Linked DNA regions of Macaca fascicularis. The protein of the gene in region 2 purifies or fractionates together with the protein of the main gene of each other region. This does not show direct contact. Links are inferred from orthologs where the notes say so. Each region holds a gene or a part of one and is shown on either strand. Other genes may lie near its edges. The genes, in order: CASP8, TNFRSF10A and CFLAR.

Region 1 (10,807 bases), on a different chromosome or scaffold from region 2:
GTTGCTTGGAAACAGTTTGATCCTTTCGAGCCTTGCTTTTTAAGCTTTGTTGGGCAGAACTAAAGCAGTGTTTAGTGTGGAACTAATTTTCCCTCACTGTTGAGGTAATACCCTCTGAGTACTCGACACCACACCCTCTGTATGAGAAGGATTTTCTACTCTGCCTGGTGGGACCATGAACTATTCCCAGCCCTGTGTTGGCTCTGGGGATTGTTCTACCTGTTCCTTGCTGGTGGTTCCTTCCTCTAACCATGTCTCTTTCTATTTCTTCCCTCCATCACTCCACCCCAGAGGCACTTGCCTCCTTGCTGTTTCCTTAACAGGCCAGGATGCTCCTACCTTGGGGGCTTTGATATTCTCTCTTCCTGAAAAGCTCTTTCCCAGATATCCACATGACTTCCTTCCTTTCCTCCTCCTGGTCTTTATTCAAATGCCACCATCTCAGATGCCACCCTATTTAAGGGCTCCACTCCCTGCCCCAACACTTGCTTTTCTCTAAATGGGATGCCACTGGAGATTTTTGAGGAGGAGAGTATTATTTGGGGAAACAACTGTGGCAGCAATGTGAAGGAGAATCTGAAGAATCAAAATGACAGGAGGCAGAACCTGTTAGAAGGATCATCTCCCATTTACACCTCAACCTGACTTCTGCTCCCATCCCAGCCATGGAAACTGCTCTTGTTAAAATCACAAGTAACTTCTGAGTTTCCAAATCCAAAGAATGCTTCACCTCACTTGACATGAGCAGTATCAGGTTCAATTGATCACTCTCTCCTTGGAACATTCACCTCTCTTAACTTTCATGGGCTTCTGGCGTTTCCTTCACCTCATTGGTCACACCTTCTCAATCTTCTTTACTAGAACTAGAACTCTGCTTAAAACCCTTCAATGTCACCCCATTGTTCTCCCACCTAATTTCTAAGTCCTGGAGTATTTTGAGGCTGGTTCCCAGGCCCCCTTCTCTTCTTTATCTCCCGTTTTTCCTTTGGAGAGCTCATCTGTTCACACAGATGTAAAAGCCATCTCTGTGCTGATAATTTGGGTTGATACCTCCAGCTTTGCCTCTCTCCTGAGCTCCAGGCTTGTACATCCAACTGCCCATTTGACATTTCAGCATAGGTGACATACAGGCACCTCAAAATTAACATGCCCAGCTCCACACTCTCAATTATCCACCAGAGATTTAGCCCCAAAATTGTCAACTCCCTCAGCTGTTCTAAGCCTAGACCTGAAGTCATCCTTGATTTCTTCTTTCCTTTCACTCTCCCAAATTCAACCCAGCAGCCTCAGCCAATCCTCTATAACATATTCCACATTCATCCACGTCCCTCCAACTCTGTTGTCACCTTACCCTAGTCCGTTATTTCTCAGCTACATGACCGTAGTATTCTCCTCCTTAGTTCCGTTGCTTTCCCTCTTGCCCTTCCAGTCCATCCCCTGGAGCATAATATAAGCAAGTGAGATACATGCATTCACTTCTCTGCTTAACACCCTTCAATGGGTCCCCATTGTTCTTAGGTTACCTTGTCCTCTCAGGTGCCACCAGGCTCCCCTGTATTTCTTCACCATGGCCCTCTATCCTTACTGTCTCTATTCCACCCATATTGGTATTCCTTTGGGTCCTCAAACACAATGAGCATTTTGCATTCTAAGGACCTTTCCACAGGCTTCTATTCATTCTTTAGTGGAAGTTTGTTTGTGTGTTTGTTTCAAGAAGCTGCTTTTTAGAGCAGTTTTAGGTTTACAGAAAAATTGAGCAGAAAGTACACAGAGTTCCCATATACTACCCCACCCCACCCCACCACTAGTTTCCTTTATTAGTAGTATCTTACATTGGGGTGCCACATTAGTTGCAGTTGATGAGCACTGTGGATGCATTCTTATTAACTAAAGTCCGTAGTTTACATTAGGGCTCTTTGTGTTGTACATTCTGTGGGTTTTGCCTAATATATCATGTCATGTAGCCACCATTACAGTGTCATACAGAATAGTTTCACTGCTCTAAAAGTGCCCTCTCCCCCACCTATTCATCCCTCCCTTGCCCTCCAAATCCCTAGAAACCACTAATCTTTTTTCTGTCTCTATAGTTTTGCCTTTTCCAGAGTGTCGTATAGTTGCAATTAGTAGTAGGTATTTAATAAAAACTTGCTTAGTGAATGAATAACTGATTGCCATTGTAACCATTCATGTGAGCTCTGGTGAGGCTGAAGAGAAGGATATACATGAGTGAGACAAGGAGGAGGTAGGACTGACAGGGTGTGAGTGGCCATGAGTGATGCAAAAGTAGCTCAAGTTGCTCCCTTGCATTACAGTCCAGGTGCCCTGGAGAAGAAACTAAATAAATAGACATCGGCATGATGTCCTGCAACAAATTCTTCTTATGCAGGTCATGGAGGAAGAATTGCATGCACAAGCCCTCATCCTAGAGTCACTTAACGCAAACCTCTACTATACCCAGGTGGAACTCCAAAAAGAGGTGAGTCCCTGCTAGAGTGGGGATGGGGGTTGGGGGAAGAACCTAGGTCTCTGTCCAGCTCTGCCGTATAGCTCTGCCCTGGATGGCTCTGGGTTGGGGAAGATGGCTTTAAAATATTTGTCTTTCAGAAAGCTATAGTGGGAAATCTGGAGAAAATGCTTCAAACCAAGTGTGCTGAAACTGAAGAAAAGTATAAGTACACCATACAGATCCTGATGGAAGAGAACATTCATCTGAAGTGCGGCTGCTGCTGAAAAAGACATGGCTGAGTTCTCTTTAGGAGTGGGAAGGAGTTTGAGTGAGGAATGGGTTAGGAAGATAGACCAAGTGCTCCCTAGTTATGTCAAGGCACAGGCATTTTCAGGAGGGAGGTGTGTCACTGCAGGCCAGCGACACAAAGCCAGATAGTTCACTTGAGGTGGAGTAGAGATGTGTCTACACTTCTCCCATTCACCTGTGTCCTTGTTGCTGTGCAAACCAACACAGGAAATTTATCTCCCAGTTTCTGAGTTTGCTCAGTTCTATGACTGAGGATGGTTTTTAAATCCATCTCCCCTGGGAGTCTGATGGTCTTACCATTACGTGCAGCTGCTTCTGGTTCCTATGGAAATCAGCTTTGGATCAGAAGGTGTACTGTTACCTGAAGCTGCATCTTAAATCATTAAAATAAATTTTGGTCAATACTTTAATAGAGGAAAGTTATTTTTATTGCATTGATTTAGTAGAAAATTCCTCATACAGGACTTCAGTCACCTGAACACCATACCTTACTAAATTCAAAACCACTGGAATGAGTGAGAGACTGCTGTGGTGAAGGAATGAAGGCACATTGCTCTCCCCGCACCCCAAATATCCTATACCCTTTCTAGCTTTTGAGTTGACATTGATACATCTTTCCTTTCTTTTTACAGGCAAAAGGTAATTTCTAAGAATGAAGAAATGTATGAAGAATATTCTGGGAGATTGGCCTCTATCACTGTTTCTAAGGATGATTCTGACACTGTGGAAGATGGTAGCAAGAAAAGACAAGAATCATAAACATAAAGTCGCTCTCCATTGTTGAAGATGGTCGGCACACCATTTCTGTAGGCCCCGGAAACTCCCGGCAGGGTTTTCTTCAGAACATGTGTATAATGAGTTTAGTTCTTGGGTTGCTCTGACTCTATTTTTGCTCTCTTCTGAGTGGCTGAAAATGTTTGAATTCTCATCTGAATTTCACAGCTTATCACGGACGCTTCATTGAAAAATGATGCTCTCCGTACTGGGAGCTGAGCTTTCTCTGAGTTTTGTACTATTTTTCTTCCACCTTTATGTATTTCATAGGAAAGAAATAGATTTGAAAGCCTTCTTCCTATTGAACTTTTACTATATTTGGGGGGGGGGGTGTACCTTTGTCCCCTGGGGCATTTAGGTAGCAAAAAAAGATGATGTGTTGATTTTATTCTAAAACCTTTTTCTCTCATACCCATGCCCCCTACTTCCCTACCTCTCAATCATGTTCCCTGACCTATGACTTAGGAAGGGTTTCTGATGATTCTTACCACCTTCTCTGGACCATCACCAGAATTCAGACACCCACAGGGCAGGCAACATAAATAAGTGAAGTGGGCTAGACACAAGGAAAACAATTGCATAAGCATAAGTGACAACTGACAGCAGCCTCAGTAGAGGGGCTTGGGCAGGGCTGGGGCACAACGGGTGGAGAAGAATGACCTGCAGAGCACTGTCTCATCTGAAGAAGGTGCTTCTCAGACCTTTGCCATGCAAAAGCATGAGGTCAATATTGTCAGATATTATTATTTTTTCAAAGAAGGTATCCTGGTTTTTATGTGATATCTCCTAATTTTTAAACGTTGACAACAAATTCTAAAAATACAACTGTGTGTACCAATCATGGGAGACTCAAGTAGAACATGCCTGTGGTCCAGATGTTTTCCACCTGTGAGATGTCATTGGCAGAAACCAAAATCAAACACAAAAAAATCTCCAAGGAGCAGTAAGATCAAATCATACTTTATTCTATTAAAAAATATTTTTGAAAAAAGATACTTAAATTTTAAAGATAACTTAATTCCTAATGATTTAAAATAATCCAAGCAGAGATGAAAGAGCAAATGCAAATGCATAAAAAGACCCACAGCATTGTTAGCAAAAAGCAAATATAGTTAGCCAAGCCTATATGCATCATGAAAGCAAAAGAAGGCAAAAAGCAAGTTTGGGGATAAATTATGTAAAAATTGTAAAATAATTTGAATTTTTAAAAGATTTCAACAAAATTTTGTTTTATTAAAAAAAATTTTTGGCTGGGTATGGAGGCTCACATCTGTAATCCCAGCACTTTGGGAGGCCAAGGCGGGCAGATCATGAGGTCAGGAGATCGAGAACATCCTGGCTAACATGGTGAAACCCCATCTCTACTGAAAAATACAAAAAATTAGCCAGGCGTGGTGGTGGGCACTTGTAGTCCCAGCTACTTGGGAGGCTGAGGCAGGAGAATGGCGTGAACCCAGGAGGCAGAGGTTGCAGTGAGCTGAAATTGCACCACTGCACTCCAGCCTGGGCGACAGAGTGAGACCCCGTCTCAAATTTTTTTTCGAGACAGGGTCTCACTCTGTCGCCCAGGCTGGAGTGCAGTGGTGTGAATATGGCTCACTGCAGCCTTGACCTCTTGGGTTCAAGTAATCCCCCCACCTCAACCTCCCAAAGTGCTGGGATTATAGACATGAGCCACCATAGGTGGCTATTGTCTAATATTTTTTGATGTGGTAGTGTGGAATTTGACTTCAAGAAAGAATTAAAGTTAATAGAATATTAACAGTGGGCTTAATGTTGATAATAATTTGAATCAAAATCCAGCTATATTCGTAGCTGGATTTTGCAGGCATCTGGTATTTATTGCCACCAGGTAAAAACATTCCCAAAGCCCTAGGCATGAACGAAAGGAGCCAGTGTTATTGTTGTTAATATCCTATTAACTTTAGCTCTTACAAAAAAGTGCAAAACTAATAAATTAACTACTTAGAAAATTAGTAAATAAACATAGTGTTGTATATCTAAATAGCACTATCAATCAGAAGGGAAGACAAGTTTTTTTCTTAGTGTGAAAGTTGGCTGCGGCATCTGTTTCCCCATGTTTTTCTTGTCATCCTTGTTGCTTACTTCATAGTTCACTTCAGTCAGGATGGTGAGAATATCATCGCCTCTGAAAGACATCACATAACATTGTGACTATCTGTGGGGGAAAGCAACTGATGAACTGTCTCCTCTGCTGTGCTCAGAGATAGTTCTGTAGTTCTTTCTCTCAAAATATCAGTCATTTGAAACAATAAGTTGCTAAACCAAGACCTACCCCAGCTTTCGTGGTAAATGCGTTGTCTCAGAGCTTAATAACTTACTTTTGGTTTATTCAGGAACTCTTTTGACCGTCAGAAACCTCAGTGTCAGTATTAGAGTTGATTTCTTTCTCTCCTGACCTGTGCGTATCTCACTCTTCTCCATGTTACTTGGCTCCCACAGTTGCTTCAATGCCCCCCAATACTCTCTGCCTCAAGTTGACATTGCATCTGTGGATTCATCTTTGATGCAATTAAACTTAAGGCAAGTGAAAGTACAATGTCTCCTGCAGCTACTCCCACCTTCTTCTCACCAGGATCTCTTAGCGTTTTTGTTAGGCAACCTCTTCTTCTACCTCGGAGCTAGCCCTGGAAACCTTGCAGGATTCATGATCTAAGTTACAAAATCTAAGTTAGATTCATGATCTAAGTTGTGGGAAATTCTCACTCTTCATATACTCAAAACATGAAATACAGGGCTAAAAGGAACCTGCTGTTTATTTCCCATAATGCACCAAGAGGTTTTAAGGATGGTTTGCTCTTATAGAACTTTTGACAGAGTTGGAGGATGTTAAACATTGAATTGGGTTACTGCCTTCTTTGGAAGATTTCCAAAACTAGTTGAATTGGCTCACTCATGTTTTGGCCTAAAGACAGAGAGCTGGACTATATGACTTTACCAGTCTTTCCTGCTCTGTGACACCCTGATTGTCCTTTGAGGTGCTGAATAAAGGAATAAAACATCTCAGCTTTTCCATCTATAAACTAAGGATGTCAACACTTGCCACTCTCCCACTTTGTAACTGACCTGGGAAGTGCAGCTATGTGATCCACAGCTAGACATCTAGAGATGAATGGAAACCATTCCCCTTGCACAGTTCTCTGACCTGTTGATGTCATCTAAACCACATATCACTTTCTAATAGTCTCTGAATGTGAGTAGATAGTAGTGGTGATGGAGTAGGAGGGGAAGGTAGTGTAACAGTGAGGTGGGCTGAGTAGGCAAAACTTACCGAGGACATCGTTCTCTCAGGCTCTGGCAAAGTGACTGGATGTACCAGGTTCCCTCTGCAGGGTTTCGGTAGGAAACACAGTTATTCACAGTGGCCATCCCCAGCAGAAAGTCAGCCTCATCCGGGATATATCTCGTTTGAGGTGATGATAAATCCATTTCCAAATAGGGTTGCTCCTCTGAATCAGTCTCAACAGGTATACCTTTCTGGTAGTTATCCCCCTGACAAGCCTGAATAAAAAACACTTTGGGTTTTCCAGCAAGGGAAGGGCACTTCAAACCAGTGAACTGAGATGTCAGCTCATAGATGGGGGCCTCCTGTCCATCAGTGCCATAGATGATGCCCTTGTCTCCATGGGAGAGGATACAGCAGATGAAGCAATCCTTGTTACTGTGGTCCATGAGTTGGTAGGTTTTCAAAATCTTATAGATTTTCTCTACTGTGCAGTCATTGTGGTGCTGGATCTCAAAATGAAGCTCTTCAAAGGTCGCGGTCAAAGCCTCTGAAAAGTGAAATTTGAACAGTCACGTTATACCACAGTAATTCACAGACCAGAGCTGGAGAGCACAGTGGGCATAACATTGATAGATAAGAAATGTCCATCGATGATAGATTGGATTAAGAAAATGTGGCACATATACACCATGGAATACTATGCAGCCATAAAAAAGGATGAGTTCATGTCCTTTGTAGGGACATGGATGAAGCTGGAAACCATCATTCTCAGCAAACTATCACAAGGACAGAAAACCAAACACTGCATGTTCTCACTCATAGGTGGGAATTGAACAATGAGAACACTTGGACACAGGAAGGGGAACATCGCACACCGGGGCCTGTTGTGGGGTTGGGGAGGGGGAAGGGATAGCATTAGGAGATATACCTAATGTAAATGACGAGTTAATGGGTGCAGCACACCAACATGGCACATGTATACATATGTAACAAACCTGCACGTTGTGCACATGTACCCTAGAACTTAAAGTAAAATAATAAATAAATAAATAAATAAATAAATAAATAAATAAATAAAGGATTTGAACCAGAAATTCAAGAGCAAAACCCTCTATGTTTGTAGCTGGATTCTGCAGGCTTCGAATATTTATTGCCACCAGCTAAAAACATTCTCAAACCCTGGGGCAAATGAGAAAGCAGAGAGTTACTGTTGGTCTGTTTTCTCTACTCAACTAGTTTACAAGATGAGTAAGTTATCATTTAGGCTTACTACTGAACCAATTTTTAAAATGACTATATTATTTACATAATCAGGAAAAACAAAACAATTTTTGAATAGAAGATCCAACTTATTTTATCCTAAACCTTCTCAAAATTATTTATGTTTAGCAAAATAAAATACATGAATTAATAAAATAGAACTAAAAGACCTTTTACAATAGGTTATCCCCTCTCTATCCCTCACTATTACCTAGTCACATTCCATGAAGGCAACCACTTCCAATTTTTAACCACTCTTTTTTCACATTAACCTCCATTTTGTAATGAATTTGGGTACACTGCTAATTACTCATTTATAAATTTTAGATTTTCGCATTGAGTTCTTATTATGGAGAATAAGCATTTGGTGCTCTTACACAATTATTTAGAATTTTGGTTGAATCCATAGTAATATTTTTTTTAATTTTTTTTTTTTTTAGAAAAGATCTCACTCTGTCACCCAGGCTAGAGTGCAGTGGCACAATCTCAGCTCACTGCAACTTCTGCCTCCCAGGTTCAAGCAATTCTCCTGCCTCAGCCTCCCGAGTAGGTGGGACTACAGGCACGCACCACCATACCCAGCTGATTTTTGTATTTTTAGTGGAGACAGGGTTTCACTGTGTTGGCCAGGCTGGTCACGAACTCCTAGCCTCAAGTGACCCACCCACCATGGCCTCCCAAAGTGCTGGGATTGTAGGCATGAGCCACCACCTCCGGCCCATACTAATATTTCTATTATTAAGACTATGTAAACATAATGTTCTTTCATTATGTTTCCTTATTAACCTTTTTGCCTTTCCTGGAATTAGTAATTGTATTATTTTTTTCATCTGCTTTGTTTCCTATATGCTTAACACTATTTTTTCTCCAAGTGCTCTAATGGATCTGGCCAAAATCTTTCAACATTTTCAGGCTACTTGTCTGACTCATTTTTATTTCTTCCTGGAAAACTTTCCATCCAGAGCACTGCATCCTTCTGCTGTAATACCAACTGGCTGTTCTGTAGGCCAGATGAATTTATCTTCTCCTGGGACATCTCTCTGTCTCTTCCATAGTAGATTATCTGTTTCCTCCATCGATGACTTCCTCTTTCTTATTAGTTTCCTTTGCTGGAGCATAACCACGAGGAGTACATTTTTTGACCCCTTGTATGAGTCTTTACTTCATAGAGTTCTATTTCCAAAAGCATTTTTCCTCAGAATTCCGAACGCTTTTCTTCACAATCTTAGCTTTCAGTGTTGCTAGAGAGAAGACCTTTTCATTCCTGATACTTCACATATTTGGCTTACTTTTTTCTCTTTCCAGAAGCTTCTAGGGTATGATATGTTTGGAAGTGATTCTTAATCCATTATACCCTTTCAATCTGGAGATTGTGTCATTTCGTTCTTGGAAAGTTCCATTTCTTTTTTCTCTGTCCTTTCTTTCTGGAACTCTTATTGTCAAAAATTGGACATCCTTGATTCAGCTTCAAATTTTCTTATCTTTTGCTCCTATTTTCTATTTTTGTCTTTTTATACTACTTTCTGAGACTTTGTCTTCTACTTTATTGAATTTTTCATTTTGGTGCTCATATTTTTAATTTTCAAGGAGTCTTTCTTGTTCTGTCCCTGTTTCATAACATCTTGTTCTTTTATGGAACTTTAACTCTCTAAGAACATTAAATACCAATATTAAGCAATAAAAAAAGCTTGCTTTTTTCTCAACATTGTCTTTGTTTCATTCATATTGTTTCATGTTTTTCTTGTTGTTCTCATTGCCTCTTATTTATTTATTTATTTATTTATTTATTTGAGACAGAGTCTTGCTCTATCACCCAGGCTGGAGTGCAGTGGTGCAATCTCGGCTCACTGCAACCTCCGCCTCCCAGGTTCAAGCAATTCTTTTGCCTCAGCCTCTGTAGTAGCTGGGATTACAGGCACCTGCCATCACACCCGGCTAATTTTTGTATTTTTATTAGAGATGGGGTTTCACCATGTTGGTCAGGCTGGTCTTGAACTCCTGACCTCAGGCGATTCGCCTGCCTCGGCCTCCCAAAGTGCTGGGATTACAGGCGTGAGCCACCGTACCCAGCTGCCTCTCTTTTGTATTAGAGGCTTTCTTCAAACGCCTGCTGACCTTTGGTTGTCCATTCATAAATTGACTAATTAGTCCATTAAAAAGTCAACTGAAAGCTCTGTGTTTGTGGATGTGGTTTGTTCACTGATGGACTTCATAGCAAGATGATGGTTGCAGACCTGATCATTGCATTAGGAAACCTCCAGATGTCATTATCTCTATGCATTTTAGCTAGAGCTTTCAGCTGCTCCAGAGGTCAATCTGTATCTGCTGCCAGTGTTCTTGGAACCAAGTTGGTTTAGAGATCTGACTCCACGCCACCAGTAGGTTTTCTTCAGTCTCTCTGTGTTCAGTAAAATGCTTCATTGCTTCCTTTGCTGGGCCTGGTACACCCAAGTGTAGAGTTTCTCTGGTTCAATTTTATGAGAAAACAAACTTCCTGTTCCTTATGATGGTAGAATAAGAATAGTTGCTGCCTCTATGAGAGGGAGGTATGAATCTGAGGATTGTATAGGCTTTAAAGAATCTTCCTGTTTTCTGCTCATTGCCTCACCTACACTTTGTACCTCCAATTGCTGAATTTTTCCAGGATTCTGTGGGGTAAATAGGCTTGCCTCTTTTCTGTGTTCCCCTCTGTAATCAGTTAGGTTGTAGCTTTCTCTGTTAAGTCGATTACCTCTACTCTTTTGTTTCAACTCCCCCAAATTGTTGGAAAC
Region 2 (10,672 bases):
CTTACTGTGCATACGCACATACATGCACATGCACACACACATGCATGTACACATGCATGTACACACACACACATGCACACAGCCCCCAAGCGTTGGTTTGTACCAGTTTATATATTTTGATTCAACATTGAAGGGCTTTTTCTTTTTTTTTGCTATTTAGGAAAACATTGTTTTAAATGAACATTTCTTTGTTTTGACTGTTTTTGCATAAGATCAGTGTCTTGTCTCTCAGAGTCTTTATGAGAAAGGTCTGCTCTCCTACTCATGCTTTTTCTCACATTCAGACAATAGATTCTTAATTTCTTCTTGCCCCTTTTTGTTCTAATATTTTCAGGTGTAGAAGCTTTAATTTTTAACCAGTGAAATCTGTAGATACATTTACCTTTTCATTGCTCATTACTGTAGACAGACCTTTCCCCAACACAAGATGAACTCCTCTAACTTCTTATGGAGATATTTTTTTCAAAGATGTGATTTTTTCATATAACTATAGAATCTAAATGGAACTTATTTTGTGTTTCAGTGCAAAGCGAGGCACTCCCTGAATTGTTCTAGTCGCTGTCTGGTTTTTCCAACCCCTTTGAGCCACTGATTCTCCTGTTTCCCTCTGCTTTGGTTAAATGCTTAATCACAGGTTAAATGCTCATGTAGACAATGATCTCCTTCCACCTAGACTGTTCCATTTGGTTGCTTTCTTGCATTAGTACCCATTTATTCTAACCAAAAATGTAAAAAATAAAAATAAAAAAAGTAAAAAGAAAGCAAACATTAAAAAGGTCAATAATCTCTAATCTCTCCAGCTTGATAAGGTGCTTTGACGTGAAGAAATGGTTTATACATTTAAAGTGAGAAAATTTAAACTGTCAAAAGGTATTCAGTGAGGAAAGAGAGCATCTTCCACTCTGCAGTGCCCTGGGTTTTCCTCAAGTAACTATGAGATACCATTTCTTGTGATTCTTTGTCCAAATCGATGCATCAGTATATGTGCATACAAAAGACATCATATTATTAACCAATGGTCCCCAACATTTTGGCACCAGGGACCAGTTGTGTGGAAGACAGTTTTTCTATGGACTGGGAGGTGAAGATGGTTTTGGGATGATTCAAGCACATTACATTTATTGTGTACTTTATTTCTATTCTTATCGCATTATAATATATAATGAAATAATTATACAACTTACCATAATAGTGTCAGTGGGAGCCCTGAGCTTGTTTTCCTTCAACTAGGTGGATCTATCTGAGGGTGATGGGAGATAGTGACAGATCATCGGGCATAAGACCCTCATAAGGAGCGTGCATCCTAGATCCCTCACATGCACAGCTCACAACAGGGTTCGCTCTCCTATAAGAATCTAATGTTGCCGCTGATCTGATGGAGTGGAGCTGAGGTGGTAATGCCAGCAGTGGGGAGTGACTGTGAGCTCTGTGGGACTAGAGGTTTTTCGGCATCTCCATGATGACCCAAGAGGGAAAGTGATGTGCTGCAGGTCTCAGGGCTGGCTGGTGGTCAGGGTCAGTACTAGACTGCAGGACCCCTGACTCAGACCAAGGCGTTCTCCACTGTGTGTTACAGGGACCGGCAGAACCTGAAGGGTCTCAGAGGAGGAGGCTGCTGGTTCCAGCAAATGGCGCTGACCCCACTGAGAGTAAGTGTTTTGCTCCTGGAGGTGCAGCAGGAATGGAGGGAATAGGGACAGTGTCCTAAGTGGTGTCCCCATTGCTGAGAATGCTCTTCCAGAGCATTCCATGCCAGAAACGGGGTCCTGTGCTATAAGACCATCAAGGCCCTAAACTGTCTTCTTCCGTCTCTTCTTCCCACTCATTCTTTCTGCATGCTATTAATGACACTAACCATTCTGTCTATCCCCTTCTCCACTTCCTCTCTCCTCCTTTGTTGTTCAGGACCTCCTGAGGAGCTGCGCTGTCCTGCATGGCACAACTGACTTCAGTGGGCTAATAGCTCTTTATCTGTGCCTAAGCCCAATTTGCAGAGCTGTTGTATAAACTACATACTGATTCCAAAGACTTAATGAAAGAAAGAATGGAAAATATTTCACTCATTTGAAATATTTCACTCATTATTTGAGACCAGGGATTGGGTCTAGGTCTTGGTGCTCACTGCACAGAAAGCCAATCACTGAGACAACTATTGACAAGGAAGAAGGCTTTAATTGGGTGCTGCAGCCAAGGAGATGGGAGCTCAGTCTCAAGTTCATGTCCCCAACTGACTAGAACTAGGGGTTTATATAGTAGGGATAAAATGTAACAATGTGTAAGAAAATAGGAACTAGGGAGGAGTAAAGAAGCAATCAAGATGAATGAGGGGTCCCGCATTCCATTGGATGTAGTGATCTGGTAAGTTTCAGTTCTTTGATACTTTGAGAAGCCTGAAGATCATTTCCTGAAAAAGGAACTCAGATAAAACAAATGTAAGATTTGAGCTTTAAGAACAGAAGGGTCAATTTCTATGTTTACCAAAACAACAACAACAAAAAACTTTTGATGGAACTATTGGGTTGATTTCAGGTCTGCCTTTCTATCTGTCAATCCCACAGTCACAGGGAGTCTGGTCCTGGATCTTTCTGGCTGCTTCATGGTTGAGGAGGGGCATTGTGGGAAGCTTCATATCATGGGTGACCTTGAGGCCACCCAGGAATCAAAAGTTAATTTAATACTAGAAGATTGTGTTTCTTCTGAAACACAATCTCTCTCTCTGTCTTGGCCCCACTTCCACCAAAGACAAATTATAGCAGGACCAGTGTACCTGCAAAATAAGTTTAGTTTCATATATGTGGCCTGATTACCCACACAAAGTGCAACAAAAATCACTGTCCACATAGGCTCTCCTAAGTTGGCTTTGCTGGAACCTCTCACAAGGCCACTGCAATCAAAGCCCTGAGAAAATAACCATTTTCTCCAACTGCGTTCCATTGTAAAAGAAAACGTTATTAACCATATGCAAGCAAACACATTGCCATGAATTAATAGTCACAAATAATTTACACATTCTGGAGAAATTAGGCAGAGGGAGAAATATGCTTCAAATTCTGTTTACAAAAGTATACTCAATATACAAAAAGTTCTCCAGACTCTGGAAAACAAAACCAAAAGAATCAGCAATATTTCAAACCAAGAAAAGCCGTAAAAATTATTTCAGTCCTCCATTAGTTTACCCCACACAATCAACTCCTGCCCAGCTTCATGTTTGGTTAACAATCACAGTCTTTATGAACACATCAGTGTGTCTTTTATTTACTTACTTATTTCTGAGAGAGTCTCGCTCTGTCACCCATGCTGGAGTGATGAGGTGCAATCTCACCTCACTGCAACCTCCATCACCTGGATTCTAGGAATTCTCATGCCTCAGCTTCCTGAGTAGCTGGGACCACAGGTGTGCACCATCACACCTGGGTACTTTTTGTATTTCCAGTAGAGACAGGGTGTTGTCATGTTGACCAGGCTGGTCTCAAACTCCTGGCCTCAAGTGATGGACATTCGCCCGCCTTGGCCTCCCAAAGTGCTGGGATTACAGACATGAGCCAATGTGCCTGGCCACACATTGGTCTTTCAGTTACTGCCCTGAAAGTTTTCTCTGTAATCCAATGACAACAATTTTTAATTACATGAAAAATTTACTTAAAACATCCCATTTATATTTACCGAATTCTTTCATTTTTCAGTTTATCCAGATTGCTTCTGAAAATTGAAATATTAGACACCATCATTTAAAGTTAGTTATTTCTTTGTCAACCATTTTTTTAATAGCCAGTGAACATCAGGTGCTCACCTAAGAGCTTCAAAGTTAAATATATAGGCATTTTCACCAATAACTCAGAAGACTCAGCTGTTTTCATTAAACCAACAACATTAAATTAATCTTACTTACAGTTTCCCGTGACTCTAGCAAACACATACAAATAATTATCAAAACATAATCCAACTGCTGCAGCAACACACAAGCCCCAAAACTACCCAGACTGAAACAGGGTGCTTCCTCTCTCCATTGGTTAGGTTTGATCAACCTGCCAACAAAAATTCTTTCAAATTTCTCAAATTGAGAGGAGCCAGTCGTGCTGCCTGGTACCCACAAAAGACACTCACTTGCCCCAACATGACACACAATTACCAACAAGCCCCCAAGAGTGTCCAGACTGAGAGGCAGAGTGCATCCCTTTCAGTTCCAAAGTCTGAACTTGGGCCTGTTCAACCTGCAAATGGAAATTCCTTTACAAATTTCTCAAACTGAGAAGAGCAGATCCTGCTGTCTGAGCCTATAAAGGACAATCACCTATCTGGATGCAAATGCCAAATTTCAAAGGCAATTCTTCTGAGGTAATCAGGAATGTGGTTGGGGACGGCTGCAGTGGGACCAGAGAGAGACTGAAACTCACTTCCAGCCAAAATTAGTGGGGCAACTGCTTGGGAGGGCTTCTGAGACGCCTGGCCCATGGCAGCAGAACCATGAGCAACACTTTCCCAGCCAGGGAACCAGAATCTGTTACCAAAACCTCAGGGGTTTGGTCTAGGTCCCGCTGCTCACTGCATAGAAAGCCAGTCACTGAGATGATGAGTATTGCCAAGAAAAAGGCTTTAATCAGGTGCTGCAGTGGAGGAGATGGGAGCTCAGTCTCAAATCCATCTCCCTGACTCACTAAAACTAAGGGTTTATATAGCAGGCAAGAAATGTAACAGTGTAAGAAAGTAGGAACTAGAATGGGGCAAGGAAACAAGAGGAATGAGGGGTCCCACATCCCATCATTGTCTGGATGTAGTGATCTGGTGAGTTTCAGTTCTTTGATACATTTTTGAGATGCCTGAATGTCTTTCCTGAGGAAATACTTCAGATAAAACAAATGTAAGTTTCAAGTGGTTAAGGACCAGAAGGGTCAATTTCTATGTTTATCAAAAAAACCTTTCTATGGGACAATTGAGTGAGTTTCAGTTTTTGTATATTGGTTGCATATTAAATTATATTTTACACATATTCAGTACCACACATCAAAATGAATGTCACTTTTTTCTTTTTTATGTTCTTTAAATGAGGCTGTTAGAAAACATAGCTTGGTATTCCTGGCCCTTTCTATCCCTGTGGATGGTGGTGTGCAGTGCTTTGCACACACATCTCATTTCATTTAATCCCTGGTAGTCCTGAGATCTGGGCAGGATTGCTCTGTCTTCAGGTTTGCTTCTTGGTCAGGGCCTGGTTGCCCCCACCTAGCTCTGCCCCAGACCCTGCACTTCCCACAGATGCAGAAGTGGCCGCCCTGGGACCTGCTCCCATGGCAAGCGCAGCCCAGGCAGCCTCCCTCCTCTGAGCTCCCGCTGCAGCCACTCTCTCTCCCTTCCTCGGGCTCTCACCCACTTTGCTTTCTGCCTCCTTAGGGTCCATCCATTCTCCCCAGGTGGGTTCTCAGCCCTCTCTGAGGGCAGATTCTCTGGTGACCTTGGTGTCCGTCAGTGCCTTGGGGGCCACGGAGACCGGGCAGTGTGGGCGGGCTGTCTGTGAATGGGAGGTGGGTGGGCAATGGAGCAACAAGTTTGCCCATGCAAGGGGCTCTCCAGGTTCTCCTCTTGGGTTCTGGGCCTGATGTGGGAACCTCTGCCCCTTCTGAACTGAGTCCCAACTCACCAAGCTGTCTCTGTGGCTTTCTCCACCCAGCTATGATGCTGTTCTTTGACAACTTTGCAGACATCGTGCCCTTTAACTCCTGGGACCAGCTCATGAGGCAGCTGGGCCTCACAAACAATGAGATCCACATGGTAAGAGCTGATACAGCAGGCCCAGGGGATGCCTTGTATGCAATGCTGATGAAATGGGTCAACAAAACTGGACAGGATGCCTCGATCCACACCCTGCTGGATGCCTTGGAGAGGATAGGAGAGAGACATGCAAAGGAGAGGATTCAGGACCTCCTGGTGGACTCTGGAAAATTCATCTACGTGGAAGATGGCACAGGCTCTGCCGTGTCCTTGGAGTGAAAGACTCTTTTTACCAGAAAGAGTGTTAATAGTTTTTTTGTTTGTTTGTTTTGTTTTGTTTTGTTTACATGTATATAAAATAAATACTTAGCTGGGTGTGGTGGTATGCCTGTAATCCCAGCACTTTGGGACGGTGAGGCGGGTGGATCACTTGAGCTCAGGAGTTCAAGACCAGCCTGACCAACATGGTGAAACGCCGTCTCTACAAAAAAATACAAAAATTAGCTGGGTGTGATGGTGCGTGCCAATATTCTCAGCTACTCAGGAGGCTGAGGCAGGAGAATCGCTTGAACCCACGAGGCAGTGAGCCAAGATTGCACCACTACACTCCAGCCTGAGGGACAGAGCAAGACTCCATCTCAAGATAAAATAAACTTGAAAGAATTATTGCCCGACTGAGGCTCATATGCCAAAGAAAAATCTGGTTCTCTCCTGAGCTGGCCGGTCTGCTTGGGTCTCCATGTGTTTCCTTATCATGGTGGTTAATTGTAGGTGCTAATGTGAATGGATTAAAGAACACCTAGAGCACTGGTAAGGCATTATTTCTGGGACATTATTTCTGGGCATGTCTTCGAGGGTGTTTCCAGAGGGGACTGGCGTGCAGTCGGGTGGACTGAGTGGAAAAGACCCACCCCTAATGTTGGGGGACACCATCCAATAGACTGGGGAGCCAGATAGAACAAAAAAAGAAAAGCAAATCCATCTGATCTCCTGGAGCTGGGACACTCTTATTCTGCCTGTGGACATCAGACTCTAGGATTTCCAGCCCTTGGACTCCAGGGCTTATATGAGTGGCCCCCCGAGGATGTAAGGACTTTGGTCTTGAACTAAGAATTACACCATCGGCTTCCCTGGGTCTTAGGTTTTTGGACTGGATTAAGCCCTGCTTCCAGCATTCCAGGGTCTCTGCTGTGAAGATGGCCTGTTGTGGAACTTCTCAGTCTCCATTATGAGATGCATTAATTCCTCCAATAAGTCCCATTTCATATAGAGTCATTTGCTCCACAACAACATTTCAGTCAAGGGAACAGCATATAAGATGGTGACTATCCAGTAAGCTAAGGTTAATTTATTAATTATTTAATTTATTTACCGTGAGTTCAAGTCACAATTGAAGTACATGTACCTTTGGAGATTTGGACTTTTGTATATAAAAATACTATTTTTTTGGCAGGGGTAGGGGGGAGCTCTCATCTTAAACAAATGTGTTATTTGGTGCCTATGCAAAGATTTGGCTAAAAGGAAGAAAAGAATTGCTTCCGTAAATCAAGCATTTTCTTAGAAAAATGGGAGCCCACCTAAATGTTTTTCAAGCTCACGTGATCCGAGGTAATCTTTAGTATATGAAAAGCTAGTTTAAGTTTCTTGGTTTAATTAAAACAGACAATTCTTCAGAGTTGTCAACATTATATACAGTTCACACATACAACTTCTACCTGGATTTACTAATCAAAACACTTATGTGTCTTTAAGATCATAAAACTGTAAATTCAACTGGAGAACAAAATGTACAAGGAAAGTATAAATTTCTTGATGTATATGAAACACAAGAATGAAAAAAAGGATTGAAAAGAGTCATATATTTTCAATGTATGGTTCTTTGTATTTTGTTTGTGTGTTTTTTATATGTTATGTGTTTGTTTGTTTTGTGTTTTTTATGTGTTATGTGATGTTTGTATCTTTTTTTTGTTTCTTTTTTTTTTTTTTTGAGAGTCTTGCTCTGTCGCCCAGGCTGGAGTGCAGTGGTGTGATCTCAGCTCACTGCAAGCTCCGCCTCCCAGGTTCATGCCATTCTCCTGCTTCAATCTCCCAAGTAGCTGGGTCTATAGGCACCCACCACCACGCCCGCCTAATTTTTTGTATTTTTAGTAGAGACGGGGGTTCACAGTGTTAACCAGGATAGTCTCAATCTCCTGACCTCGTGATCTGCCTGTCTCGGCCTCCCAAAGTGTTGGGATTACAGGTGTGAGCCACCGCGCAAGGCCATTTCTTGTGTCTTTTTTGGTATGGTTTTTATAAGGTGTCTACTTTTAAGTATTTTTATATTTAATTTTGGTAACTTAAAAATCTTAGTTATATTAACCTAAGTTAAATGAAGGTTATTTGTATTAGTCTGTTTTCTGTTGCTATCACTGAATACCTCAGAGTAGGGAGTGGGTAATTTATAAAGAAAATCAATTTATGTATTATGGTTCTTGGGGCTAGGAAGTCCAAGGGCAAAGGGCCAAACCTAGGGAGGGCCTTCTTGCTGACGGACTCTGATATGGTTTAGATCTGTGGCCCCACCAAAGTCTCATGTTGAATTGTAGTCCCCAGCGTTGGAGGTGGGGCCTGGTGGAGGTGATTGGATCATGAGGGCAGATTTCTCATAAACGTTTTAACACCATTCCTCTTGGTACTGTCCTCCTGACAGTGAGTGAGTTCTCATGAGATCTGATTGTCAAAAAATCTGTGGCACGTCCCCATTCTCTCTTCTCCTGCTCTGGCCATGTGAAGTGCTGTCTCTCCCTTTGCCTTCTGCCATGATTGTAACTTGCCTGAGGCTTCCCTATTTGCCAAGCAGATGCCAGCATCGTGCTTCCTGTACAGCTTGTGGACCTGTGAGCCAAATAAACCTCTTCCTCTTTATAAATCACCCAGTGTCTGGTATTAATTTATAGCAATGCAAGAACAAACTAATACAAAGTCTCTGCAGAGTCCCAAGTTGGTGCAGGACATTATAGGGCGAGGGGACACACTGAGAGGCAAACAGGCTTTTATAACAGAGTCACTGTATTAGTTTGTTTTGCATTGCTATAAAGAAATACCTGAGCCTGAGTAATTTATAAAGAAAATAAGTTAATTAGCTCACACTTCTGCAAGCTGTACAGGAAGCATGGCGGCTTCTGCTTCTAGGAGGCCTCAGGAAGCCTCCAATCATGGCAGAAGGCAAAGGGGGAGTGAGCTGTCTCACATGACCAGAGCAGGAGGTAGAGAGAGAGGGGAAGGTGTCACACACTTATAAACAACCATATACTGGCCAGGCATGGTGGCTCACGCCTATAATCCCAGCACTTTGGGAAGCTGAGGCAGTGGATCACCTGAGCTCAGGAGTTCAAGACCAGCTTGGCCAACATGGTGAAACCCCGTCTCTACTAAAAATACAAAATTAGCCGGGCATGGTGGCATGGTGGCGGGTGCCTGTAACTCCAGCTACTCCGGAGGCTGAGGTGGGAGAATCGCTTGAACCCAGGAGTGGAGGTTGCAGTGAGCCAAGATCGCACTGCTGCACTCCAGCCTGGGCAACAACGCAAGACTCTTTCTAAAAACACAAAAATGAATAAACAAAAAAACTATGAGACAGAAAAGATGGGTTTTTGCTAAAATAAAAAATAATATTGTTTTAGTTTGGAAGTTATTCAAAGGTTGTTTCAAAATGAATCACTAAATAACAGATCAAACTGAATGGATATTGTCTCAGTCTGATTTGTGCTACTATGACAGAACACCTGAGACTGGGTGATTTAGTTAAATATGGAGATTTGTTTTTTACTGCTCTGGAGGCTTGGAAGTACAAGGTCAAGGGGCCCCTATTTGGCAAGGGCCTTCTTGTGGCCTCATCACCTGGTGAAAGGTGGAAGGACAAGAGGGCATGCATGAGAGGAAGGGAAAACATGCAAGAGGGGGCCAAACTCACTTTTATAACAAATCTACTCCTGCAATAACGAACCCACTTCCACAATAATGTATTAATCCATTCATGTGGGAAGTACCCTCATAATCCAATCATCCCTTAAAGGTCTCACCTCCCCCCACTGTTGCATTCAGAATTAAGTTTCCAACACATGAACTTTGGGGGGCACATGCAAATCACAGCAGAAATAAAAAGCTGAAAGAGAGAAAACGAGAGAATCCTATGTGCTCAAGTTGATTAAACTGAATGAATTTATTATATTACTTTTAAAAATGAGCCTAAATACTGAGAGTGAACTGACACAGAACTAGAATTTGAATTTCTCTGTTAAAAGGACAAAACAGGCTGGGCGCAGTGGCTCACGTCTATTATCCCAGCACTTTGGGAGGCCGAGGTGGGTAGATCAACTGAGGTCATGGGTTTGAGACCAGCCTGGTCAACATGGTGAAACCCCATCTCTACTAAAAATACAAAATTAGCTGGGCGTGATGGCAGGTGCATGTAATCCCAGCTACTTGGGAGGCTGAGGCAGGAGAATCACTTGAACCCAGAAGGTAGAGGTTGCAGTGACCTGAGATCGGGCCATTGCTCTCCAGCCTGGGTGACAGGTTGAGACCCTGTCTCAAAAAAAAAAGCACTACAGAAGGTTAAGTGAATGTAAAAAACCTTTTAGATCTCAGTTTTTCTAAGCAATTAAAAACCTAATAAAGGCAACAAATGAGTTATTATTATTACTATTACTATTATTTTGAGACAGGGTCTTGCTCTGTAGCCCAGGCTGGAGTGCAATGGTGTGATCATGGCTCACTGTAGCCTCCACCTCCCCGGGATCAGGTGATTCTCCCACATTAGCCTCCTGAGTAGCTGGGACTACAAGCATGTGCCACCATGCCCAGCTAATTTTTTTAAAATTTTTATTTATTTATTTATTTATTTATTTATTTATTTATTTATTTATTTTGAGATGGAGTCTTGCTCTCTCACCAGGCTGGAGTGTAGTGGCGCGATCTTGGCTCA
Region 3 (10,807 bases), on a different chromosome or scaffold from region 2:
CCTAGTTTCTCATCTCTTGCCTGGTTCCTTGTTCTAGGTTCCTTGACATTCCTGGTGACTACCCAGGTTAAAGGGATAGACTCATTCTACATTTAGGCTGAATGATAGCCAGCACATTTACAGTAAGCCTAGGCAGACAGCAACTGATATAGTGTCTCCTCTGGGGATATAGCTTTGTGCTATATATAACTTGCCTGTGCTACCACATATTTTATTAACAGCTCCATCACGGAGCACAACCTTATAATTACTTACCAGATTAAAATAATCCAGCCTTATGATTATTTGCCAGATTAAAATAATCCAGCCATGGCTTAGAATAGAACTCAAGTCAAGTATAAAATCTGAACTATGGGGTTTCAATAGCATACCATGGCCAAGGTTTTGAGTGAAACTTTTGCGCTGCTTCTGTTTTCCAACCAGAAAGGGAGCTCCAGATAGCAGAGAGAGATCTACGTGCTCCCATTCCTTAGCCCCAGTAGGTGCTCAGTAAACGGTGAAGGAGTTACTTTTTTCATTTAACTCTTGATTCAAAGTTGTGGTTATTGTTGCAGGGAATTTGGTTTACTCACCAGATAGTATTCAAGCAAGAGACTGTCAGGTACCTACTCTTTTAAACAATCTCATTGACTTTGAAAACTACTTTTGAAAGCTGCAAGTAAAAACAAACAAAAAACACAGATATATAAGCCAAAGGGAAGATACAAAGGAAGTTCAAGGAGAAAACTCAAGAATTTCACAAGTAGGTAAGGTAGCTTTGGTTCCCATTTCTAAAGTCACATGACTAAAGAAACTCATTACCCTGGGAAACATTTTAAACCTTGGAGTAAGTAACTATGAGAGGATTTTTCAATTACATTTTTTAAAGTATATAAATATACATATAAATGATTCACTTCTTCAACTGAAGAGTTCACTGCAGAAGATACAAATTATCTTGAGTATGCAGATGAAAGTAGTATCAAGTGGTGTGTAGCTTCTCTTTCATAACAAGTACTAAATCAACAAAGATGGCAACTCAGTATCGAGAATAAGAGAAAAATAATGTAGAAGATGTTTATCTATTTGGGCCAAAAACCTAAATCACCAAAAAAAGAAAGTGGCTAGAAGTGGAGACCAAAATACAGAACAAGTGTAGAAAAGCAAGCAATTTTCGAAGTAGAATCACTTGAATCCAGGAGGCAGAGGCTGCAGCGAACAGAGATAGCACCACTGCACTCCAGCCTGGGCGACAGAGTGACACTCTGTCTCAAAAAAAAAAAAAAAAAAAAATGTAGCTGGGTGTGGTGGTGCGCACCTGTAGTTCCAGCTGCTCCAGAGGCTGATGTGAGATGATTGCTTGAGCCCAGAGTTAGAGGCTGAAGTGAGCTATGATCACCACTGCACTCCAGCCGGAGCAACAAGCAAGATCTCACCTAAAAAAAAAAAAAAAAGGCCCCACCTTGAATCTTTTTTAGAAAAAAGCAGGTTGTAAATAAACACAATTTTAAAAAATGAAATATTTTGCAAACTAGAAAACAAAAATATTATGAGTGTTTTTTAAAAAAAATATGTAAAAGACTGTATTTGAGAGCACAAATGTGGTAAAAAAACAAAACAAAACAAAACAAAACATTACACTGAAACCTTTGGTTATCTGTAGGGAAAGAACCCCTGGGGGTTTTCTCTATTTACTTTGCATGTATTTTAACCCAGGTAATTGTAATACAACTTGACTGAAGAGTGTCTGAAGAAAATGCATTACAGTACAGAATGTTAGGTACGATCCTGAAGCAAGTGCAAAGACAGCCGCTGAGCATATGAAAGTACAGAGAAAGGGCACCAGGGTGGGGTGTCAAGTCTTCTGAGGGGAGATGCCAGGAGGAGAGTATAAGGGAGATACAGGGCATTCCAATAATGATAGTGCTTTTCACCTCACCGATCTATAGTAAGAAAGAACGATTGGGTTCTGCAAGTTACCTGGGCATACTAAAAGAAAATACAAAACAAACAAACAAATAAACAAAAAGAACCCATGGTGTCATAACTGCCCCACCATGGCCCACAGGCTTCCTCCAGGCAGGCTGTCAGTGGATCTTGTCTAAACTGCCTTAACTCGAAGTTACCTGTGTTTAGGTAACTGTTGAGTCTTCCTCAACCATATTGTGAGGTTATGGGGACAAGAACCAAGTTTAGATCCATTTCTATGTCCTCGGCACCCAGAACTCTACCTGGCCCAGAGAAGCTCAATAAATGCTGGTAGGATTATACTGAATTAAAGGCAAGGAGGCATTGGAGTCCATAAACACGAGTTTAATTAGCCCCTGGGGCTCTACAGGGAAGAAATAATCAGACTTCAAGGGTGCCCCATTCCCCAGAGTCCATTCCTGGTATTTGAAAGAGCAATATGCCTCGGAGTGTTGTGAGTCCACTGGAGGCTCAAGGAGGAGACCTAGGGCCAAAAGCGAGGACTCAATCCTTTTCTGCCAGTATCGGGGGACAGTGCCCCAACGTCTCAGGAGCCCAGGGCGACACCAGCCCCGGGGCGGGGATCGGGCAGGATTCTCATCTACTCACGCCCGGGCAGCCGTCGGCTCTTCCCACTGGATCTCCGCCGGGACCAACTCCCACCCTCGCCGTACAAGCTCAGACCTGCTGCTCCGCAAAAGCAGAATTGGAAATGCTCCAGATGGGATGAGGAACGAGGACAGAAAGTCAAATATATCAACAGGTGGCTTCGCCGGAGGGCGTCCGAAAACCTCTGCCTACTGAACCGCTTCACGCCTAATCCCCGCCGCCCACCGGCTGAAATGTTACAAGACATAAATTCTCGAATCCTGTCTGCGGAATTCCCCGCCCCCGCGCAGTTGAAACTTGCACAGGGCCACTCGCGTGTCTCTGGGTGGTGATATTCTCCATGCGTGGTCAAAGGGCTTATGCATATCTCAGGACAGTTACGTGCGGCCCCACCAGGACTGAGTGGGGACCGCCGGTGGGCCCCCACCACCTACTAGGAGCTGCGGTAGGACCTCCGATGCCCCAGGGGCCTAGGCAATTTCCGTTTCAGCTTCCTGGAGGCCCCCAGCCCAAGGCTCAAAAAACTGCACGTAATCCCGCCCACCCCGGGTCATGCAAGACTTTCGGGGGTAGGGGGAAACCCAGCGACCCTGCAAATGGCTTCACCTTGGAAACCGGTACAAGGAAGCAAGCAAGTATAAGGAAGCAAGTAACCGGTGTAAGGAAGCAAGTAAGGAGGTCAAATGTCAGTTACAAACAGAAACGTAAAACATAAAGTCGCTAGAGAAAGCCATTTTAACGAGGACATTTGACCCAAAAGCTGTAAGTAAAACAAGTATTAACAAAACAAGAAAATGTATGTAAAGCAAACATTTACAAACATTAAATGTATGTAAAGCAAACAGTAAACATTCAAAACTCCCTTTCGACCCAGTCTTTTTTGTTTAGATCTTGGAGTTGGGCCGGGCGCGGTGGCTCACGCCTGTAATCCTAGCACTTTGGGTGGCCGAGACGGGCGGATCACCTGAGGTCGGGAGTTCGAGACCAGCCTGATCAATATGGAGAAACCCCGTCTCTACTAAAAATACAAAATTAAGGGCATGGTGGTGCATCCCTGTAATCTCAGCAACTTGAGAGGCTGAGGCAGGAGAATTGCTTGAACCCGAGAGGCGGAGGTTGCGGTGAGCAGAGATCTGTGCCATTGCAATCCAGCATGGGCAACAACAGTGAAACTCTGTCTCAAAAAAAAAAAAAAAAAAAAAAAAAAAAGATCTTGGAGCTCGAGCCAGGTTTTTTGTTAAACAAAACTTTTGTAAGGTTATTTAGGGGAATCACCAACCCGAAAAGGGCCAAAAACTCCGTTCTTCTTATCTGAAATCTCTCTCTAAAGCAGGTCAAACCTTCCAGAGCCCGCTCTCAGTTCTAGATTATTGCAGTTTGTTGATATTCAAAACGCTTTACTTATGCTATATGCTAACCCCCTACTGGTTTCACCCCTCATTGCTTAAGAACAAATTTCAAATGTCAACCAATTAAAACATTCGTAAGACCTCTGGCGTCCTTGAATTTACTTCCTACTCCGTGGAGCCAAAAACTAATTCTGAATTTCAGTGGCCTTTGTTCTACTGCGTGCCACTGTTAATATTAAAAGAACATGGCCTTCTGTCCAAATCCGGACACTCTCAAGTAAGAACATCTTGAAGTCATTTTACATTTCCCAGTCCTTTTGAAGCGGTGGAAAAATGGCAGAAACAGGTTCATTTTAAAAGGCTCTAAAAACGTTTCTTCAGTCAGGCATTCCCAGCTTTTCCAAGGCAAGCTTTCCTTGCACTTGGGCAAAATAGATATTAAACTGCTCTGGAAAATAACAGCCCTGACTAGGCTATTGTTAAATTCCCTACAGGGCGGCGGCTCCCACTGAGTGAGGTCGAACGCACACACAACTGTTGGGAAAGTCCACGTTCCCAACAACTTTCGAAAGGAAAAGTGCCAGATCTTCTCAACAGTTCACTCCAAGAATTGAACTCTCAAGATCATTTTAAGCAAAGTTTACACAACGCTGAGGACCCGCCACTGAAGCTCGCGGGTGGGCCTCTGCGGTTGCGGCTGCAGGGGGCGGCTAGAGTTAGCCAAGGTTTACTTCCGGTCTCTCAGGTCCATTGGGGTGAAGCTCGGACCGCAGTGGCCCAGGTCGCCCCTTTTTGGGAATCCGGGGCGGAGTTGCCAGCAGAAAGGGTTCGGGGTTTCGGAGCGGGGCGGAAGCGGAAGCGGGGGCATTCCGCTCAGCCCGCGGTAAACAACCGAGATAAGAAATCTACAAAACTGAGTCAGGTTCCAGAAGCGCCCCCGCCATCCCCTGGCCACTGCCGGCCACCTGCAGTTTCCCGGAGCGCAGGGCTGTGAGGAGCGGCAGGAGTGGGACGTGGGCGCGTGGGCGCGCGGCGGCTCAGGGCCTGCTGCAACGCTGACTCAGGGCTGGGCGTCGGGGCTTGGGGTCTGGGACAGCTCCGGCGCCGCCGGCGGGGGGTAGAGCGTGGGGCACGTACCGTCCTGTCGCGGCCGGACTCTCCTGCCGCTGACACCTCAGCCTTAGCTCCCCTAGACGCCCGAAAGGCGCACGCAAGATGGAGGCAAAGAAACCGAAAGCCTGGAAGCGGACTCGGAAGCGGACTCGGTGCTGGGCGATGGCTGTTCGCAGCGCTTCTCTCCCACACCCCCTCCCGTGGTCTTTGGATAGCCCTGGGCTTTGCCTCAGCTGTCACTGGACAAAAGTCCAATAGCCGGCACTCACTGTGTTAGGCCGAGTCCCCATCCCTAGCTCCGGGAGTCCTTTTTAGTTGAGACTCGTCGGTGAGGCTGCCAACTCGCTGTTTCCTGCTTTGGCTTGTGTGACTGAGTATGCAGTAACCGAGGGTGGATGTCGACATAAGTTCCACGCGTTAGGAGTAAACACTGCGAGGTTTTTTGGGTTTTTTTTTTTTTTGCTTGCTTGCTTGCTTTCTTCTTTTTTGAGACGGAGTCTCACTCTGCGGCCCAGGCTGGAGTGCAGTGGCGTAATTTCAGCTCACTGCAACATCCGCCTCCCTAGTTCAAGCTATTCTCTTGCCTCAGCCCCCCGAGTAGCTGGAACTACAGGCGCGCACCACCACTCCCGGCTAATTTTTGTGTTTATTAGAGACGGGGTTTCACTGTTGGCCAGGATGGTCTCGAACTCCTGACCTTGTGATCCGCTCGCCTCGGCCTCCCAAACTGCTGGGATTACAGGCGTGAGCCACCCAGCCAGGCGCGAGTGTTTATGATTTGATGTCTGGGAGTCATAGCAAACGTGAACGCACTTTGTGGTTTTTTTGTGTGTATGTTGTTTTTTGTTTTCCTTCTTGAGACAGGGTCTCGCGCTGTCGCCGAGGCTAGAAGGCAGTGGCGCCATCACGGCTCACTGCAGCCTGGACTTCCTGCGCCCAAGCCATCCAACCCCCTCAGCCACCCGAGTAGCTGGGACCACAGGCACAGGCCATCATGCCCGACTAATTTTAGGGTTTCACCATGTTGGCTAGGCTGGTCTCCAACTCCTGGCCTCAAGTGATCCTCGCCCGCCTCGGCCTCCCAAAGTGCTGGGATTACAGGCGTCAGTCACCGCGCCCCGCTAAGTTTTTATTTATTCCTATTATCTATCTACTTTATTGTGATTCTTAAAAAGCTTTAACTTTTCTTGAAATAATTTTAAACTCACAGGAAAGGTGAAGAATAATACCAAGAGAGACTAACTGCAGGACGGCATGAAGAGCTCAGGATTCACCCCTAGTGAAACTGAAAATTATTTAAAACAACAAACAACCATTAACTATTTTAAGCGTCTGAAATGGTCCTAAGGGCAAACAGCAAATGAAGAAACATGTATTCCAAAAAATCTATAAAAATTCTTGCATCAGAATGTGAGAGTTTGTGGTATTTAAAGCAAACCTCTGCCTTTGTGCAGCAAGACAGACTCCACTCCAGACGGCTGCAACTAAGAACCTCTGTCTTCCCACAGCTCCCAGTCAGAGACCAGCATGTCAGCATTTCTCATCTTGCCCCTAGCTACCTGATGCTGAAGCTAAATCCTGGGGAAGTGTGGTGGAGAGGTGGCAAAGTCCTTCCATTCAGAGGCTCTACCTTGGGTGGAGTGCTGAGACACAAGAGGAGACTTTAGCTCTTTTTCTCCATTACTTTCACCCCATATTCACCCCCAACCTTTTTTTTTTTTTAATCTCTCCATCTTCCCAAGATAGTTACATTCTGATTTTGATTAATCTTCAGTACATATGCTATTATAATCATGTAAACGGTAGTCACAGCCAAGTTATGTACCAAACTATGATTACTTTTCCTTTCCCACACAACTTTTAGTTTTTTCTGGAGTTAATAATTGTCTTGTTTTGTTGGTTTTTCCATGTAATTAAATACTAAACTGTTTGTCAGTTATCCAAGTTTGGTTTTTTGTTTGTTTTTGAGAAAGGGTCTCACTCCAGGCTGGAGTGCAGTGACCCGCTCACAGCTCACTGCAGCCTTAACCTCCTGCCTCCTGAGTTCAAGGGATCCTTCTGCCTCAGCCTCCTGAGTAGCTAGGACTAGAGGTCCTAGCATGCCACCATGCTAGGTGTGCCACTACAGGTGCCACCATGCCCAACTAATTTTTAAAAAATTTTGAGGCCGGGCACGGTGGCTCAAGCCTGTAATCCCAGCACTTTGGGAGGCCGAGACGGGCGGATCACGAGGTCAGGAGATCGAGACCATCCTGGCTAACACGGTGAAACCCCGTCTCTACTAAAAAAATACAAAAAACCATCCTGGCTAACACGGTGAAACCCGTCTCTACTAAAAAATACAAAAAACTAGCCGGGCGAGGTGGCGGGCGCCTGTAGTCCCAGCTACTCGGGAGGCTGAGGCAGGAGAATGGCGTGAACCCAGGAGGCGGAGCTTGCAGTGAGCTGAGATCCGGCCACTGCACTCCAGCCTGGGGGACAGAGCGAGACTCCGTCTCAAAAAAAAAAAAAAAATTTGTGGCCGGGCGCAATGGCTCACGCCTGTAATCTCAGCACTTTGGGAGGCCGAGGCGGGTGGATCACGAGGTCAGGAGTTCAAGACCAGCCTGGCCAAGATAGTGAAACCCCATTTCTACTAAAAATACAAAAAATTAACTGGGTGTGATGGTGGGCGCCTGTAATCCCAGCTACTCAGGAGGCTAAGGCAGACAATTGCTTGAACCCAGGAGGCAGAGGTTGCAGCGAGCCTAGATTATGCCACTACACTCCAGCCTGGGAGACAGAGCGAGACTCCATCTCAAAAAAATACATATATATACACACACACACACATGTGTGTGTGTATATATATGTATATATGTATATACTATATAGTATATGTATCGTGTTCATATATATACACTATATATAGTAGAAGTGGAGGTCGTGGGTTGGGGGAAGTCTTGCTATGCTGCCCAGGCTGGTTTTGTTTTTTGTTTTTTGTTTTTTTTTTTGAGACAGTCTGCTCTGTTGCCCAGGCTGGAGTGCAGTGGCCAGATCTCAGCTCACTGCAAGCTCCGCCTCCCGGGTTTACGCCATTCTCCTGCCTCAGCCTCCAGAGTAGCTGGGACTACAGGCGCCCGCCACCTCGCCCGGCTAGTTTTTTGTATTTTTTAGTAGAGACGGGGTTTCACCGTGTTAGCCAGGATGGTCTCGATCTCCTGACCTCGTGATCCGCCTGCCTCAGCCTCCCAAAGTGCTGGGATTACAGGCTTCAGCCACCGCACCTGGCCCCAGGCTGGTTTTGAACTTGCCTCAAGCGATCCTCCTGCCTAGGTCTTTCAAAGCACTGGGATTACAGGCATGACCGCCGCTGCTCTTGGCCTTTCTTATCTTTTCAGTACACCAAGAAAATTTTATTACAGATCAGCACCTGTCCTTAATTTGGAAACTACTATTCAAGAACACCTAGCTTAGCACCTCCATCACCACCTCCAACGCACCCTATCCCAAGTGAAAGCCATTTCTGGTTGTCAGTAGAACCATCACAGTGGATTTACCCCAGGCCCACCTTGCATGCCCACTGATTCTCACCACTTCAACACACACCAGTATGACTTCTAACCCAGCATATCCATATGTCATTCCCTGAGGGCTTTTTCTGGCTCACATTGGAAGCCCATATTGTCATCCCATTTGGCAAACCAGTAGGAGCAGGCATTTAACCCCCTACCCCTGTGCCATCCTCATCCTTTGACTTCAGCAGCCCTCAAAGAATGACTATACACCTATGTTGACACTCCCACCTGCAGTCCACTTTCCATTTACATCCTCTTACAATCAGCCACCCCTTGGGCTTAGGGATGTGCATACTTGCAGCACAGTTTGTCCCTGGGGTATAGACTTGGGGAAGAGGCCAATGTAGGCCCTGGTGGGAGGCTCAGGGCTCTTTGAGTAGAGAACATCAGGTCTTGGGTACCCAAAGAGGGTTTTTTGTTTTTGTTTTTTTGAGACGTAGTCTCGCTGTGTCGCCCAGGCTGGAGTGTAGTGGTGCAATCCTGGCTCACTGCAACATCTGCCTCTCAGGCCCAAGTGATTCTCCTGCCTCAGCCTCCCAAGTAGCTGGGATTACAGGCGCGCACCACCATATCCGGCTGATTTTTGTATTTTTAGTAGAGACAAGGTCAGGACGAGGTCAAGACCAGGCTGGTCTTGAACTCCTGGCCTCAAGTGATCTGCCTGCCTTGGCCTCCCAAAGTGCTGGAATTACAGATGAGAGTCACCACACCCAGCCCCAAAGAAGGTTTTAAACAGAGGGTCTCAGTGTGGGCATGTCCTCTTGACCTTGCAGACTCCTCCCACCTCTGATCATTCTCCCCACCTGAGGGAAGGGCACAGCCCAAGAAGAGCTGGAGCAAGGCCCTTCTAAATCAGGGCCCACAACAGGACCCTGAGTGCCTGGGTCCAAGGGCAGTATTGCTTAAGCTTCTCTGACTTTCTCTTTCCACACTTCACAAAGTAGCAACAAATGTTCACGTTTTCGTCAAATTCACTGGTGGTAAACCTTGGCTGCACGTTAGACTGTCCCCAAGGAGCTTCAAAAACCTCAGTGGCCAGGTACCATTCCAGACTAATTATATCAAAATCTCTGAGAGTGAGACTCAGGGATTAGTAGTTTTTAAAGCTCCCTGTATGATTTCAACATACAGTTCAGTTCAGAACAACTGATCTAATCCAAACATTATCTCACTCCCTCAACCACGACCCAATTTTCAGATGAAGAATCTGAGGCTTAAAGTGAGTTAATAAATTGAGAAATCTCACAACTAGCTAGTGACAGAACTAGGACAGGATGCCAAGAATTTATCTAATGCTTTTCCTTATATCACAGTGGGTGACTTGGGAAGTAGAGAATTAATAGCCACAGCAATGACTTTATATCTACTCTCTTAGTCACACATCCCGCCTCAACTCCTCTGACATTCTATGAGAATATATTCTTGGCTGGGCATGGTGGCTCATGCCTATAATCCCAGCACTTTGGGAAGCCAAGGCAGAAGGAACACTTGAACCCAGGTGTTCAAGATCAGCCGAGGCAATATAGGGAGAGCCTGTCTCTACAAAAAAATTTAAAAATTAGCCAGGTGTAGTGATGCATGTATGTGATCCCAGCTACTCAAGAGGCTGAAGTGGGAGGATCACTTGAGCCAGGGAGGTTGAGGTTGCAGTAAACCATGAGCACAGCACTGCACTCCAGCTTCGATGACAGAGTGAAACCCTGTCTCAAAAAATATATATAAATAAATAAATAAACTTAGTTTAAAAAGAATACATTCTTTTTTTTTTTTGGATGGAGTCTCACTTTGTCACCAGGCTGGATTGCAGTGGCATGATCTCAGCTCACTGCAACCTCCGCCTCCCAGGTTCAAGCAATTCTCCTGCCTCAGCCTACTGAGTAGCTGGGACTACAGGCGTGTGCCAGCATGCCCAGCTAATTTTTTTTTTCTGAGACAGTCTCACTTTTTTACCCAGGCTGGAGTGCAGTGGCGTGATCTCAGTTCACTGCAATCTCTGCCTCCTGGGTTCAAGCGATTCTCCTGCCTCAGCCTCCCTAGTAGCTGGAATTACAGGCGCCTGCCACTACACTCAGCTAATTTTTTGTATTTTTAGTAGAGACGGGGTTTCACCATGTTGGCCAGGCTTGTCTTGAACTCCTAACCTTGTGATTCACCCACCTCGGCCTCCCAAAGTGCTGGGATTACAGGCGTGAGCCACCGCGCCCAGCCATAATTTTTATATTTTTAGTAGAG

What was found.
Region 1: the proteins of TNFRSF10A (region 2) and CASP8 purify together in Homo sapiens (affinity purification with western blotting; 13 studies listed by BioGRID and IntAct, counting the BioPlex papers as one, with this or other methods). This does not show direct contact. The link is inferred for Macaca fascicularis from reciprocal best matches to the Homo sapiens genes TNFRSF10A and CASP8.
Region 3: the proteins of TNFRSF10A (region 2) and CFLAR purify together in Homo sapiens (affinity purification with western blotting; 5 studies listed by BioGRID and IntAct, with this or other methods). This does not show direct contact. The link is inferred for Macaca fascicularis from reciprocal best matches to the Homo sapiens genes TNFRSF10A and CFLAR.

The regions. Positions count from the first base shown.
Region 1 is NC_088386.1:97,058,963-97,069,769, reverse strand, and holds the end of CASP8 (caspase-8), read right to left. Parts: intron 7,324-10,807; coding exon 6,822-7,323; intron 5,679-6,821; coding exon 5,543-5,678; 3' UTR 5,136-5,542; intron 5,033-5,135; 3' UTR 4,474-5,032; downstream 1-4,473. Other genes in the region: FLACC1 (flagellum-associated coiled-coil domain-containing protein 1), read left to right, coding at 2,387-2,476, 2,605-2,714, 3,388-3,514. UniProt on the Homo sapiens protein: Thiol protease that plays a key role in programmed cell death by acting as a molecular switch for apoptosis, necroptosis and pyroptosis, and is required to prevent tissue damage during embryonic development and adulthood.
Region 2 is NC_088382.1:26,374,314-26,384,985, reverse strand, and holds the end of TNFRSF10A (tumor necrosis factor receptor superfamily member 10A), read left to right. Parts: intron 1-1,576; coding exon 1,577-1,649; intron 1,650-5,662; coding exon 5,663-5,982; 3' UTR 5,983-6,675; downstream 6,676-10,672. UniProt on the Homo sapiens protein: Receptor for the cytotoxic ligand TNFSF10/TRAIL. The adapter molecule FADD recruits caspase-8 to the activated receptor.
Region 3 is NC_088386.1:96,878,219-96,889,025, reverse strand, and holds the start of CFLAR (CASP8 and FADD-like apoptosis regulator), read right to left. Parts: upstream 5,371-10,807; 5' UTR 5,043-5,370; intron 4,777-5,042; exon of another isoform or gene 3,836-4,776; intron 2,780-3,835; exon of another isoform or gene 2,557-2,779; intron 1-2,556. UniProt on the Homo sapiens protein: Apoptosis regulator protein which may function as a crucial link between cell survival and cell death pathways in mammalian cells. Acts as an inhibitor of TNFRSF6 mediated apoptosis.